Mus musculus: one gene and its partners. The protein of the gene in region 3 purifies or fractionates together with the protein of the main gene of each other region. This does not show direct contact. Links are inferred from orthologs where the notes say so. Each region holds a gene or a part of one and is shown on either strand. Other genes may lie near its edges. The genes, in order: Ppie, Ccdc12 and Crnkl1.

Region 1 (3,484 bases), on a different chromosome or scaffold from region 3:
CTTCTATCGCTGTAGAGAGAACGAAGCCACAGGCAGCATCTGAACTTAAATGGATATGGCAGTGTCTCAATAAAAACCTAATTCAAAGAAACAAGCAGCAAGCTGCTGGATGCCCGGGTACTGTGCCAACCTTTGGTCTCCTGAAAAGAAGCCAGTACCTGGCAGAGCTGGCTGAGGCATACTACACCTACCATTTTAAAGACCTGAAGAATGTAACGTGAACGTTAGACATGGGAGCCACCAAGGCCACCCCCAGACAGGCAGCGTTGGTTCAGGAGCACCGGCAACAGGGATAAGCAGCTCTGACTTCCGCTGCCCTGACATGATCTGATAGGACATGTGGCATAAAGATGACCTGGCATATAAGGGATTTAGCCCCAGGAAGGAAGGAAACAAAGCCACAGGGAAGGTATTACAGCTTTCCAAACATGCCACCCCACTCAGGGGACAGCCTAGCCTTGGATGTGATCTCTAACAGACAACTCTCAGCAACTTGCAGGAGGCAACAGTAAAAAAAAAAACAAAACAAGCAGTTTATTTTAGCAAAGAAGCCACCTAGCAGCTACAGACAGTTCAGGACAGGTGGCGGCAGCACACTGCCTATGCTGGCTTTCAGGCCCAGTCATGCCTGCAGAAGGCCTGGGCACTGCAGATGAGCAGCTGCTAAGGCAGGTGACCCCAAGGAAAGGCTTGTGCTCTACACAGCTTGCTGCACAGGGCCCAGACCAGGCAGTTCCCCTCGTCTTACAGAGGTGGAGCAGAGAGCGCAGCCTCACATGTACTCTCCACAGTCGGCAATCATCACCTTCTGCTTTGGCTTCCCATCCTTGCTGCCCTGAGCCTGTGCGGGCAGAACAGAGAAATCAGGAGAGACGCAGGATGCGAGAGCCGCTAGAGCATCATCCTCTCCCCAGACATTCAGGGACCTGCTCTAAATGCCCCCTTCCAGGACATCAAGAGCCCTCCCCAACTCTCCCACTGGGGCACCCACCCACGCAAGGTCCAGGCAGGAAGCAACTTCCAACCACCCACCTCGATCTGCCGCAAGACATCCAGGCCTTCCGTGACCTCCCCAAATACCACATGCTTGCCGTCCAGCCAATCTGTCTTATCACAGGTCAGGAAGAACTGGGAGCCGTTGGTGTTCGGGCCAGAATTGGCCATGGAGAGGAGGCCTAGGAGAAAATAAACTTGTCAGCTCCCTCCACACTGCTCCCAGCCCATGGTGCATGTGCTGATGGCTGCCGGTGCTTCTGCATACTGGCTCAGGCCATGGAAGGGTCCTAACAGACACAGCACCTTGTCTTTCCCTCACTACAGAAAAAGGATGAGTGGGCTGTTTCCGTTTTTATTTTTTCCTTCACATTTATTTGTCTTTTCATTTATAACAATGACTTGCAGTCTATTTTGTAACCAGGCCCATTAAATCCTGAAACACTGATGAGCAAAATATTTATTTAAAGTGTAAGTGTATGAGCTGGGGAGATGGGTCCACAGAGAAAGGAGCTTGCTGTGGAAGTTGGACAATCTGCATTTCATTTCCAGAACCTATGGTAAGGAAAGAGTTGTCTCCTCAAAGTGTGCTCTGACCTCCACACCGACTGTGCTGCATGGACCCTCACTTAAAGTACTTGGTACAAGCAACCAACCCAAATGATAAGTACATCTCTTGTAAAGGCTACTGTGCTATGACAACTGAGATGCAGGGACATCTGTGCTGGGGAGAAGCTTAAGACAGTCACATGGAGGGAAGGAGGAAAGCTGGGCCAGGAGATGAACTAGAGACAAGGTGCAACTAGGGTGACAGGGGAAATGAATCCAAGATGAGTCCCAACCCCTGATCAGGCATAAGTGAACAGTTATCTACTGAAACTCAGACATAAAGGGAGTTGAAGGAGAACCATTTTAACCTGTGATGCCTGAGGGTCCTCTACAAGAGCAGCAAGTGTTCTTAACCACTGAGCCACCTTTCTAGTTAAGACCTAAGTCTATTATATTTCACAAACGGCAAACTTTAAGTGTAGTGAAATCTTCTAGGGAGCCGTATGCAGCAGTACATGTCTGTAATCTCAGCACTCATGAGTATCCAGAGGTCAGTGCTAGCTTGAGTCACACTCTAAGACCCAGTTTCAAAAAGCAAACCAGGTATGGTGGTGTACGCCTTTAATCCCAGTACTTGGGAGCCTCAGGCAGGTGGATCTTGGTGATTTCCAGGTCAGCCTGGTCTTTATGGCAAGTTCCAGGTCAGCTATGGTTACAGAGTGTGAGATCCTGTCTCAAAAACAAACCAAGAAAAATAACTCAAGAATTAACACTATAATGTAATCCTATACATCATTTCACAAAATTGTGTCAGCACCAGCAATACCATCTGTGGTATCCAAATTGCCAGCGACAGCCTGTCTGTCTTCTAACATCTGAGCGGCACACGTTGGAATAACTCTTGTGAAAGTGTGTCAGGACATACTTTCTTGTAAGATAATGCAGGCAGGAAGAACTTCTTGGCCCTGTACTTCAGTCTAGCACAAGCTTGCAGGAAGAACAGAGGCGCAGTGGACAGGTTCCTAGGGAGAAATGAACTCATCTCTGACCACCATCGTGCTCAGTAATGGAACAGGAGGAAGCAGCACGACAGAAAGGTGGCAAAGCAGATGAAGCCGCTGAAGATGGAGGGGCCGCCTGCCAGTGCAGAGAGAGACAGAGAGAGAGTCAGAGAGAGACAGAGACAGACAGACAGACAGAGAGACAGAGACACAGACAGAGAGAGAGAGAGACAGAGAGAGACAGAGACAGAGACAGACACAGACAGACAGAGAGACAGAGACAGAGAGAGCAGGAGTATGGCACTGTCAGCACAGAATGCTGACACGCTGGAATAAGCTGAGGCGGAAAACTGGCTATTGGCAAAAAAGATGGTTAGTATCTTTAGCAAGAAAGGTTTGCGTGTAGCCGGGCGTGGTGGCGCACGCCTTTAATCCCAGCATTCCGGAGGCAGAGGCAGGGGGATTTCTGAGTTCGAGGCCAGCCTGGTCTACAGAGTGAGTTCCAGGACAGCCAGGGCTACACAGAGAAACCCTGTCTCGAAAAAAAAAAAGAAAGAAAGGTTTGCATGGCCAGCTGGGGCTAAAAATCTAGATAGAAGGACTTAGAAAGGATGAAGGCAGTGAGTTTATACATTTTTTCTAAAAAGTTTTGCTAAAAAGTAGAGAGTCAAGATGATGCTGGTGGAAGGAACAAGAGTCCAAAGGTGGTTATTGGGTTTTTTAAGATTGAGATTGCATGCCTGGTCACTGATGGACCAAACTAGCTGAACAGGGGAAACACAGTTTATAAGTCAAAGGGAGCCAGCAGGAGACATGAAGATCCTAAGTGGCAGAGGGACAGACTCCATCCAGCCCAGGAGGGATAGATGGACTCTGTAATAGGAGGGAGTCAGAGCATGCATCTGTGGCAGGCACGAGGCAAGACCTCAGATCAATATGGA
Region 2 (4,401 bases), on a different chromosome or scaffold from region 3:
AGCCCCTGGTGTTGGGTGGGAACCAGCTTCTTTGTTAGGGGTAGGGGAAAGTTTGCTAGGTCCAGATGGCTCCTATTGGTCCTAGGGATCGATCAGTATGAAGCGCCCTATGCATCTTAGTATGAGCTTACCTTTCCTGAGCACAGATACCCTCTATGCCAGGGGCTGGCAGCCACCCCGTCTCCTACTGTAAGGGAAGGTCCCAGACAGAACCAGGTTAACCCAGGATAACACCGAGCTTAGGAAACGGTGACATTTGAAGGGAGCTGTTAGGGAAGATCATTCTCCTTTGGGCCAGCTTTATAACAGAAGCCCCAGACAGGGAGCCACGTTGCTCATGGGCTTGCCATCTCCTGGAAGAGGAGGAGGAGAAGAAAAGAAGCAAACGCATCTGTGACCATCTGCCGCAGTCAAACTCCTTCTTCTCCTTTTGTTTTGTGAGACAAGATTTCTCCATGTAGTCCTGACTATCCTGGAATTCGCTTTGGAAACCAGGCTGGACTCCAACTCAGAAATCCATCCACCTGCCTCTGCCTCTCAAGTGCCGGGATTAAAGTCGTGCGCCACCACGCCCGGCTCCGTCAACCTCTTTTTATACTGGGAGGAGAGAGTAATTCAGTGGCACTTATTCGGCCCTGGTTGCTGTTTGCTCTTTTTTTTGTTGTTGTTTGTTTGTTTTTCGAGACAGGGTTTCCCTGTATAGCCCTGGCTATCCTGGAACTCACTTTGTAGACCAGGCTGGCCTCGAACTCAGAAATCTGCCTGCCTCTGCCTCCCAAGTGCCAGGATTAAAGGCGTGCGCCACCACGCCCGGCTGCTATTTGCTTTTAAGCAGGTAAGGTAGCCTGACTCTGATTATGCTGCAGCTCCCGAAAGAGATGCGAGATCATTCTTGAGTTCAAAGGAAAAGGCCATGTAGCCAGGCCTCGAACTCAGCAGTTCTGGAGCCAGAGAGTGGATAGCAAGGCTTATGCGCAACAACTCATCAGGCGAGTGAGTGCAAGCTGCCACTGGCACTCTGTAGAGAAGGGAGAGGCTGACCTCAGAGTGAGTTGGGAATGAGAGTGGCCAAGGAAGGTTTCTGGGTGTTTGTCTGGTAGTGGTGCGTTAAGACAAGGTTATCTTACGTAGCCCAGACTGAACCCGACCCCATAATTTTGATGCCTCAGCCTCTGAAGTGCTGGAATTACAAACGTGCACCACCTCACCCGGCTCAGGGAATGTTTCTCAAGGCATTCGCTCTTGAAGAATTGGCACAAGTGGATAAGGATGGCTAAATATTCCAAGAGGGCAGTTAGGAGAGGTGGGTGGTGGTTAGGCAAAACCAGAGCAATCGACTCTCTCTATTCTCTTCCTCTCAGGTCTGATTCTATTTGCTTTCTCACAAATTAAGTGTCGGACAAATCGAATCTTAACGCCTTTGCCCACAACCCAGCCGGCTCACTCGCTGTACAGGTGCTCCAGATCAAGGGGCGTGGACTTTTGTATCAACTCAGCATTGATTGGTTCTCAGGGCTTCCGGCTCTCCATTGTCTCCCTTGGATTGGCCGTAAGACATTCTCCTGCTCACTGAGCCTGCGCGAGGCAGAAGTGAAAAGGAGGTGGGGGCCTCCGAAAAGATGGCGGCTGCTCCTGCCGGTGTGGGCCGCCTAGAGGAAGAGGCGCTGCGGCGGAAAGAACGGCTGAAGGCCCTCCGGGAGAAAACCGGGCGCAAGGTGAGGCACGGTGGAGTGAGAGCTGCGGGTATGGCGGCCAGTGCTCTGGGCCAGTGGGAAGGCGGAGGATTACCAGGGAACCACTGAAGCCAAAGTGCGCGTGCGCGTAGCGCATGCGCAGTGGGACGGCGCTGACCTCTGAGATAGGCTCGTTTCTTGAGTGCAGGGGCGGAGCTCGCGCGTGCGCCTTAGGAAGTCGTTTTCGGGCGACAACCCAGATATTTTATCCATCATGGTAGTTGTTGCAAGGCCGGCTTTTAACTACATGTTTGTTGGGCTCGGCGGTTTTTTTGTTTATTTGTTTGTTTAAGTTTTTGATTGGCCCCATTGGCCGTGCCTTCCAACACCTACCACCAGGGCTCCCTTGGGTAGGACAGCTAGTGACCTTTCTGGGTGGACTGCAGGGAAAGAAGGCTGCCGTTTCTTTCCCGTCTTGGCTTACTAGTCCTATTAGTTGCCAGATTCGAAAAACACTTTTCCTTCCTTTCGGTAGCCACCGAAATATGGTCTGGATTCATCCTTACTTGCTGGTCTTTCCAAAGAAATGAAATTCACTACTTGTGTGCAGATTTTGGCTGTGTCTTTCGACACGGTGAGACTTAGGACAAATTGTTTCATGTTCCTAAGCCTGTTTGTTTGTTTTTGTGTTTGTGTTTTCACTTCTCCAGTAGAGGAATAAATAACACAGTCACTTTTGTGGGTTATTTTGCCATATAATAGGGAAAATCAGTGATTGAGGCTTGTTTCACCACACCTGACCTGCAGTAAGTTTTGAAATTAGTCTTAAGTCGTGTACCTAGTTCCTTCTCAAGACCATTTTTTTTTGGCTATTGAAGTTCTTTTGAGAACATCAGCATGGGAAGCTGGAAGATGTTGGCTCTTTGTTACATAGGCAAAAAAACAAAACAAAACCAACCAACCAAACAAACAAACAAAAAACGGTGTCCCTCATTCAACAACAACAAAAAACATTTGGCAGAGGTGGAGGAAATCAGAGACTCCACTTCCGACTTACTAAACAAAAAAAAAAAAAAAAAAAAAAAAAACCGAGATTGGTCAGTCTCGGTTGGCTTTGTTTTCCTTTCGGAATAGCTGCCTACCTTGTAGCATACTATGAGAAAGCGAAAGGGAAGTAGTGAGAGCGACCGACCGCTGGCCCAGCAGGCTTCTGCTTTCCTTGGCAGCCTAGAGACCCATCAGATGACTACCCTCCTGCCCTTCAGACCCAGGGAGGCGCAGGCTTGGCTCTCATCCTCATCTGTCACTCTCTCTGATACTCTTGAGGCAGGTTCTCTCCAGGAGCCGGAAGCTTGTGGTTGGTTGGTCGGTTGGTTGTTTAGGCTACGCTGGCAGCCAACAAGCCCTGTAGATCCTCCTGCCTCTGCCTACCAAGTGTTGGGATTGAGGCTTGTTCCACCACACCCAGCCTGCAGTAAGTTCTGAAATTAGTCTAAATGGTGTACCTTAGCTCCTTCTCCAGGTTGTTTTGGCTATTGAGGTTCCCCTTAAGATTCCACGTGAAGCTAGGGGCGGTGGTGCGTGCTTGTTGTCCCAGCACTTGAGAGACTCAGGCAGGAGGATTGGTGTCCAGCCTTGGAGACACATTGAAAGGAATCCTGTCTCAAAAGAACAAAACAAAAAAGATTCTATCTGAATTTTGGAATGAGTTTTCCTGTTTGTGTAAAGAGCATTGTTGAGATTTTGTAGGGATTGCCTTGAATCTGTAAGTCATTTGGGACAGTGTCATCATTTTAAATATGTTAAAATAACCAGTCTGTGAGCATGCCTCTCCGTTTCAGTTGTTTTCAGTTTCTTCAGCTGTGATGGTGTCTTGTGTAGGCTTTTTGTTTTGTTTTGTCTTTGTTTTGTTTTTTGAGATAGGATTTCTTGAAGTCTGGCACTGGTTTCATACCCACCAAGAAACAGAAGACCTTGAATTTCTTTTTCTTTTTCTTTTTCTTTCTTTCTTTCTTTTTTTTTTTTTTTTTTTTTTTTTTTTTTTTTTGAGACAGGGATTCTCTGTGTAGCCCTGGCTGTTCTGGAACTCACTTTGTAGACCAGGCTGGCCTTGAACTCAGAAATCCTCCTGCCTCCGCCTCCCAGGTGCTGGGATTAAAGGTGTGCGCCATTGTTACCAACCTCCTAATGGGATTGTCAGCAAGCTGGGTTTTATATTGTATATATTTATATATAAAGCTGGGGAGCTTTTAACTGCGTGCTGGAATTTCCCGGAAGCCGTCTGGTTATTTCCCAGAAGCCATCTGGTTTACCTCTCCTCTGGCCAGGAGCGTGGGTTGGAGAGTTTGTTTAATATTTTATTGGGCTCTTTACACCTTTACCTCCCTGCCAACCCTTATCCCACGCTTATCCCTTCCATTCCCCCCAACACTAGGTAGGAGAGAGAGAAGATTAGAGGGGAAGGTACTGTGGACATATTTCAGCCAACAGAGTAGACTACTTCCTGCTGATTACGGGCATTGAGTGCCTTGGGGCTATCTTTGTTGTCGGGATATCCACAACTTCTTCTCATCTGTTTGCTCCTGACCAGTTGACACACCACAGCAGCAGGAACCCAGAGCGGCTGCCAGTCCTCTCAGGACTCTCTCCTTTTTACCATCTCCAGAGTCCCCAGAATCAAATTATCTGCAGCTGGTAAAAATGATGCCCCTGCTAGAGCACCAGGCAA
Region 3 (3,647 bases):
ATCTCTCCCATTCTTGGTTCTGGAGTTCCTGCAACTTAGCCTGTTTCACCAAACATTGCTGTTTCTCACTGTGTTTCCTGTCTAGACCTTGACTATACTGCTCATGACCTTATGAAATAATTGCATGCTGTCTCTAAAGACTGTACGATAACTTGAGAACATCATTGCTTTTCCTCTTTTTATGACCAGAAGGTGGCCCATGATAGATAGATGCCTAACAACACAGGAGGACATTGCAGCTACTGTGAGGTGGCTGCTGCATATCTCACGGTTGCTGCCTTTGATGCTCTCCATATCTTATTTGTTAAGGGCTCGATCCATATACGAGCGTGCTTTAGATGTCGACTACCGAAATATTACCCTCTGGCTGAAATATGCAGAAATGGAGATGAAGAACCGCCAGGTCAACCATGCCCGAAACATCTGGGACCGTGCCATCACAACTCTGCCACGCGTCAACCAGTTCTGGTAAGCTGCTCATTGCACAAAGCAGTCTTTGTGAACTAGCAAATACCACTTGATTGGGTATTAGGTTTATTGCAATTATAATAGTTGTATGTGTTGATTATTATATTCTATTTTTTTAAAATATATATACTGATTTTTAATGTCACATAATCTATGAATCATAATTCTAATGTCCCATGGCTATGTAATCAAACTTAAATGTTTAGTACAATTTTTTATTCATAAGAAACTTCTTAATGAAGCCTTCCTCCCCTATGGATAATTCTTTTTCAGGTTTATATTTTAATAAGAAAACATTTGCTTAAACATCTTGGAAAGATAAAACTTAAAATCAACCAGGCAGTGGTGGCACACACCTTTAGTCTCAAGACTTAGGTGGCAGAGGCCCACCTGGTTCCAGGATAGCCAAAGCTACATAGAGAAACCCTGTCTTGGAAAAACAAAGAAAACAAAACAGAAAAAAAAAACCTTAAAATCTTTCATTTAACAAAATGTTAGAAGTGTCAAAGCGTTACTTTTCCTCCTGAGTCATTTTGACCACAGCAGGCGTCTTTGGATGATTTTGTCAGGTATAAGTACACATACATGGAGGAGATGTTGGGCAACGTTGCTGGTGCCCGCCAGGTGTTTGAGCGCTGGATGGAATGGCAGCCTGAGGAGCAGGCCTGGCATTCCTACATCAACTTCGAGCTGAGATACAAAGAGGTGGAGCGGGCCCGCACCATCTATGAACGCTATATCCTTTGAATAAGGTATTAGTGGTACATGGCTGTCATGGGTATCTACCTCCCAAAAAGATGTCACAGTAAAGACATGTAGCTACTAATGTGACATTGGAAACTAGGAAGGCAAGTTTCGTCCCTTTGACAATTTTCTGTAGGGTTAGAAACTGGTCAAATAAAAATGTGTAGACTGGGTCATTTGAGTCTTTTCAGAGATATTGTGGGTTCGTTTTTGGGTTTGCACAAAGTCCTAGCTGCTAGAACCAGAGGTCTGCATTGCTCATTGGCACTGCTAATGGAGCTCATCAGAGTTGACTGCTTACTAGCTGCGACTCCAGCTAATAAATGACTCCAGAGTCATCTAGTTCCTTGAGCCTTTGTGTCTTTTCTATACAAGAAAAATTAAAAACTAAACATGGTGAAGTCTAGGTATATACTCATGTATAGAGCATGTGCCTAACATATTTTGAGACCCTGAGTTTAGGCTTCAGCACTATAGAAAACAGACCAATGTTAACAAGTGGAAGATGGTGTTTGTGAAAACACTGTTAGAAACGGATCTGTGAAGCTCATCACCCAGAGGCGCCTTATTTGCAAATTGCCACACTTACTGAAATTTATTTCGAGTTCTCAATAATTGCTATGCTTTAGCAGTCATTTGCAGACATGTATAGAGCAATGGCTGAAGTCTACTTCAGCAGTATATAGTGATGCCTGAGTGTGAAGTCAGGAGCAACCCACTGTGTCCACAAGGAGTGCTCTCCCTCTCTGAAACCAGTGGATCAAGGTTCTGACACCTGCAGAGAGAGGGACAGCCTAAAGCTAGTTGCTTGGTGCTCTGAGCCACAAACACATGAGTAGATGACTTAGTTGCCGAAGTACTTGGTGCACAACAGGCCCGTGTTTGGATCTGTAGCACGCATTTACAAAGCTGCACCCAGCATATATCTGTAATTCCAACACTGGGGAGGTGGAGACAGGAGGATTCCAAGGCCTTTAGGCTAGTCAGTCTAGTTGAATAAGTAAGCTCCAGGCTCAGTGAGAGGCCCCATATCAAATAATGAGGTGGGGAGCAACTGAATAAGATACCTGATGTCAGCCTCTGGCCTCTTGCACCCATATGTGCTTGTGCGTACACACACACACACACACACACACACACACACACACACACACACACACACACAAGAAAATAGGATGTGCTGGCTTTAGAATTTAACACTGGTCTGTGGGAGATGTGTGCACGCATATTCCTCCTAGGATCAGTGGCTTGGCATTCAGTGGCTGAGAGTTCTTACTGGCTTTCCAGAGCTGCTGTAAGCAGTGAGAACCTTGCTGTGCAACATTAAGATCTTCAGTTGTCTCTACTCATTCCATAGTGGCTTAGCAGAGGCTTGAGGAACACTGGGTTTGTAGCTGATGGGACCCTGAGCTCTTACTACTGTCAGTGCTTGGGAAAACCCTGAAGTGCAGGAACTACCCCATTCAGCAAGTGCGGAAACTGATTAAGCAACTTGATGAGGGTCTCAGGTGGTGGCACTAGGGGTATTTGACCCAGGAAATGAACCTCAGAGCTGATGGTCTTAACATCCTTGCTCCCCTTGAGTGTATTTTCCCTGTGGAAATGATTTGGCTTCTTCAGGGAAGGCTGATGTGCTCTGGTAATAAATGGCAATTGAAGATTTGTCTTTAGCTTTAGATAGCAGCTCTCTTTTTGTGGCAGTTTGTTCTTTCGTTGTGAGTAGACTGTTGTAATGAGCATTTAATGGAATAGGTGCTTTTTATTGGCCATGTTCTTTTGGCCAGAAAGTGCTAAGCTTTATAAACATTTCCTCATTTCATTAAGCAATGATGGGTGAAGTTGATAGTATTTTTCCCTTTCCACACATGAAAAAAACTGAGACAGACATTTTTGTTGAAGATCACATGGTTTGTAACTGGGTTGAGGTTTTCTTTGGCTTCAGACTGTCCCACTGCTACAATACCGAGTCAGCGTTGAAGGGAGGTCAAAAGAGTAAGGTGACCTCTCAGGCTATAGGTTAGTTGCTAGCCTCCTTTGTGTGTGCTCATCCCCACTTGTATTTGGAATTGTTGGAGTTTGGGAGGTTAGTAAGAGTGGGGGTCTGTTGTGTGGGTGTTGAACCTTTGGCATGTGCTGTGCATGCGCACTGCCACTGGGCCAGCCTCAGCCTGTTACTGGCTTAGCCGCGTTGTCCTGCCTGCTCTTTCCTTCACTCCCTGCCCGTACTTGTGCTCGTGCACCCTGCTGTGAAAAACTGGATCAAGTACGCAAGATTTGAAGAGAAGCATGCTTACTTTGCTCATGCGCGGAAAGTCTACGAGAGAGCGGTGGAGTTTTTTGGGGATGAGCATATGGACGAACACCTCTATGTGGCCTTTGCTAAATTTGAGGAAAACCAGAAAGAAGTAAGTCACAATGAGTTCATCTCTGTTTCA

The links.
Region 1: the proteins of Crnkl1 (region 3) and Ppie purify together in Homo sapiens (affinity purification with mass spectrometry; 3 studies listed by BioGRID and IntAct, counting the BioPlex papers as one, with this or other methods). This does not show direct contact. The link is inferred for Mus musculus from reciprocal best matches to the Homo sapiens genes CRNKL1 and PPIE.
Region 2: the proteins of Crnkl1 (region 3) and Ccdc12 purify together in Homo sapiens (co-immunoprecipitation; 3 studies listed by BioGRID and IntAct, with this or other methods). This does not show direct contact. The link is inferred for Mus musculus from reciprocal best matches to the Homo sapiens genes CRNKL1 and CCDC12.

What each region holds. Positions count from the first base shown.
Region 1 is NC_000070.6:123,126,606-123,130,089, forward strand, and holds the end of Ppie (peptidyl-prolyl cis-trans isomerase E), read right to left. Parts: intron 1,176-3,484; coding exon 1,033-1,175; intron 842-1,032; coding exon 773-841; 3' UTR 510-772; downstream 1-509. UniProt on the Homo sapiens protein: Involved in pre-mRNA splicing as component of the spliceosome. Combines RNA-binding and PPIase activities.
Region 2 is NC_000075.6:110,654,944-110,659,344, forward strand, and holds the start of Ccdc12 (coiled-coil domain-containing protein 12), read left to right. Parts: upstream 1-1,559; 5' UTR 1,560-1,619; coding exon 1,620-1,715; intron 1,716-4,401.
Region 3 is NC_000068.7:145,928,091-145,931,737, reverse strand, and holds part of Crnkl1 (crooked neck-like protein 1), read left to right. Parts: intron 1-309; coding exon 310-468; intron 469-1,037; coding exon 1,038-1,204; intron 1,205-3,438; coding exon 3,439-3,617; intron 3,618-3,647. UniProt on the Homo sapiens protein: Involved in pre-mRNA splicing process. As a component of the minor spliceosome, involved in the splicing of U12-type introns in pre-mRNAs.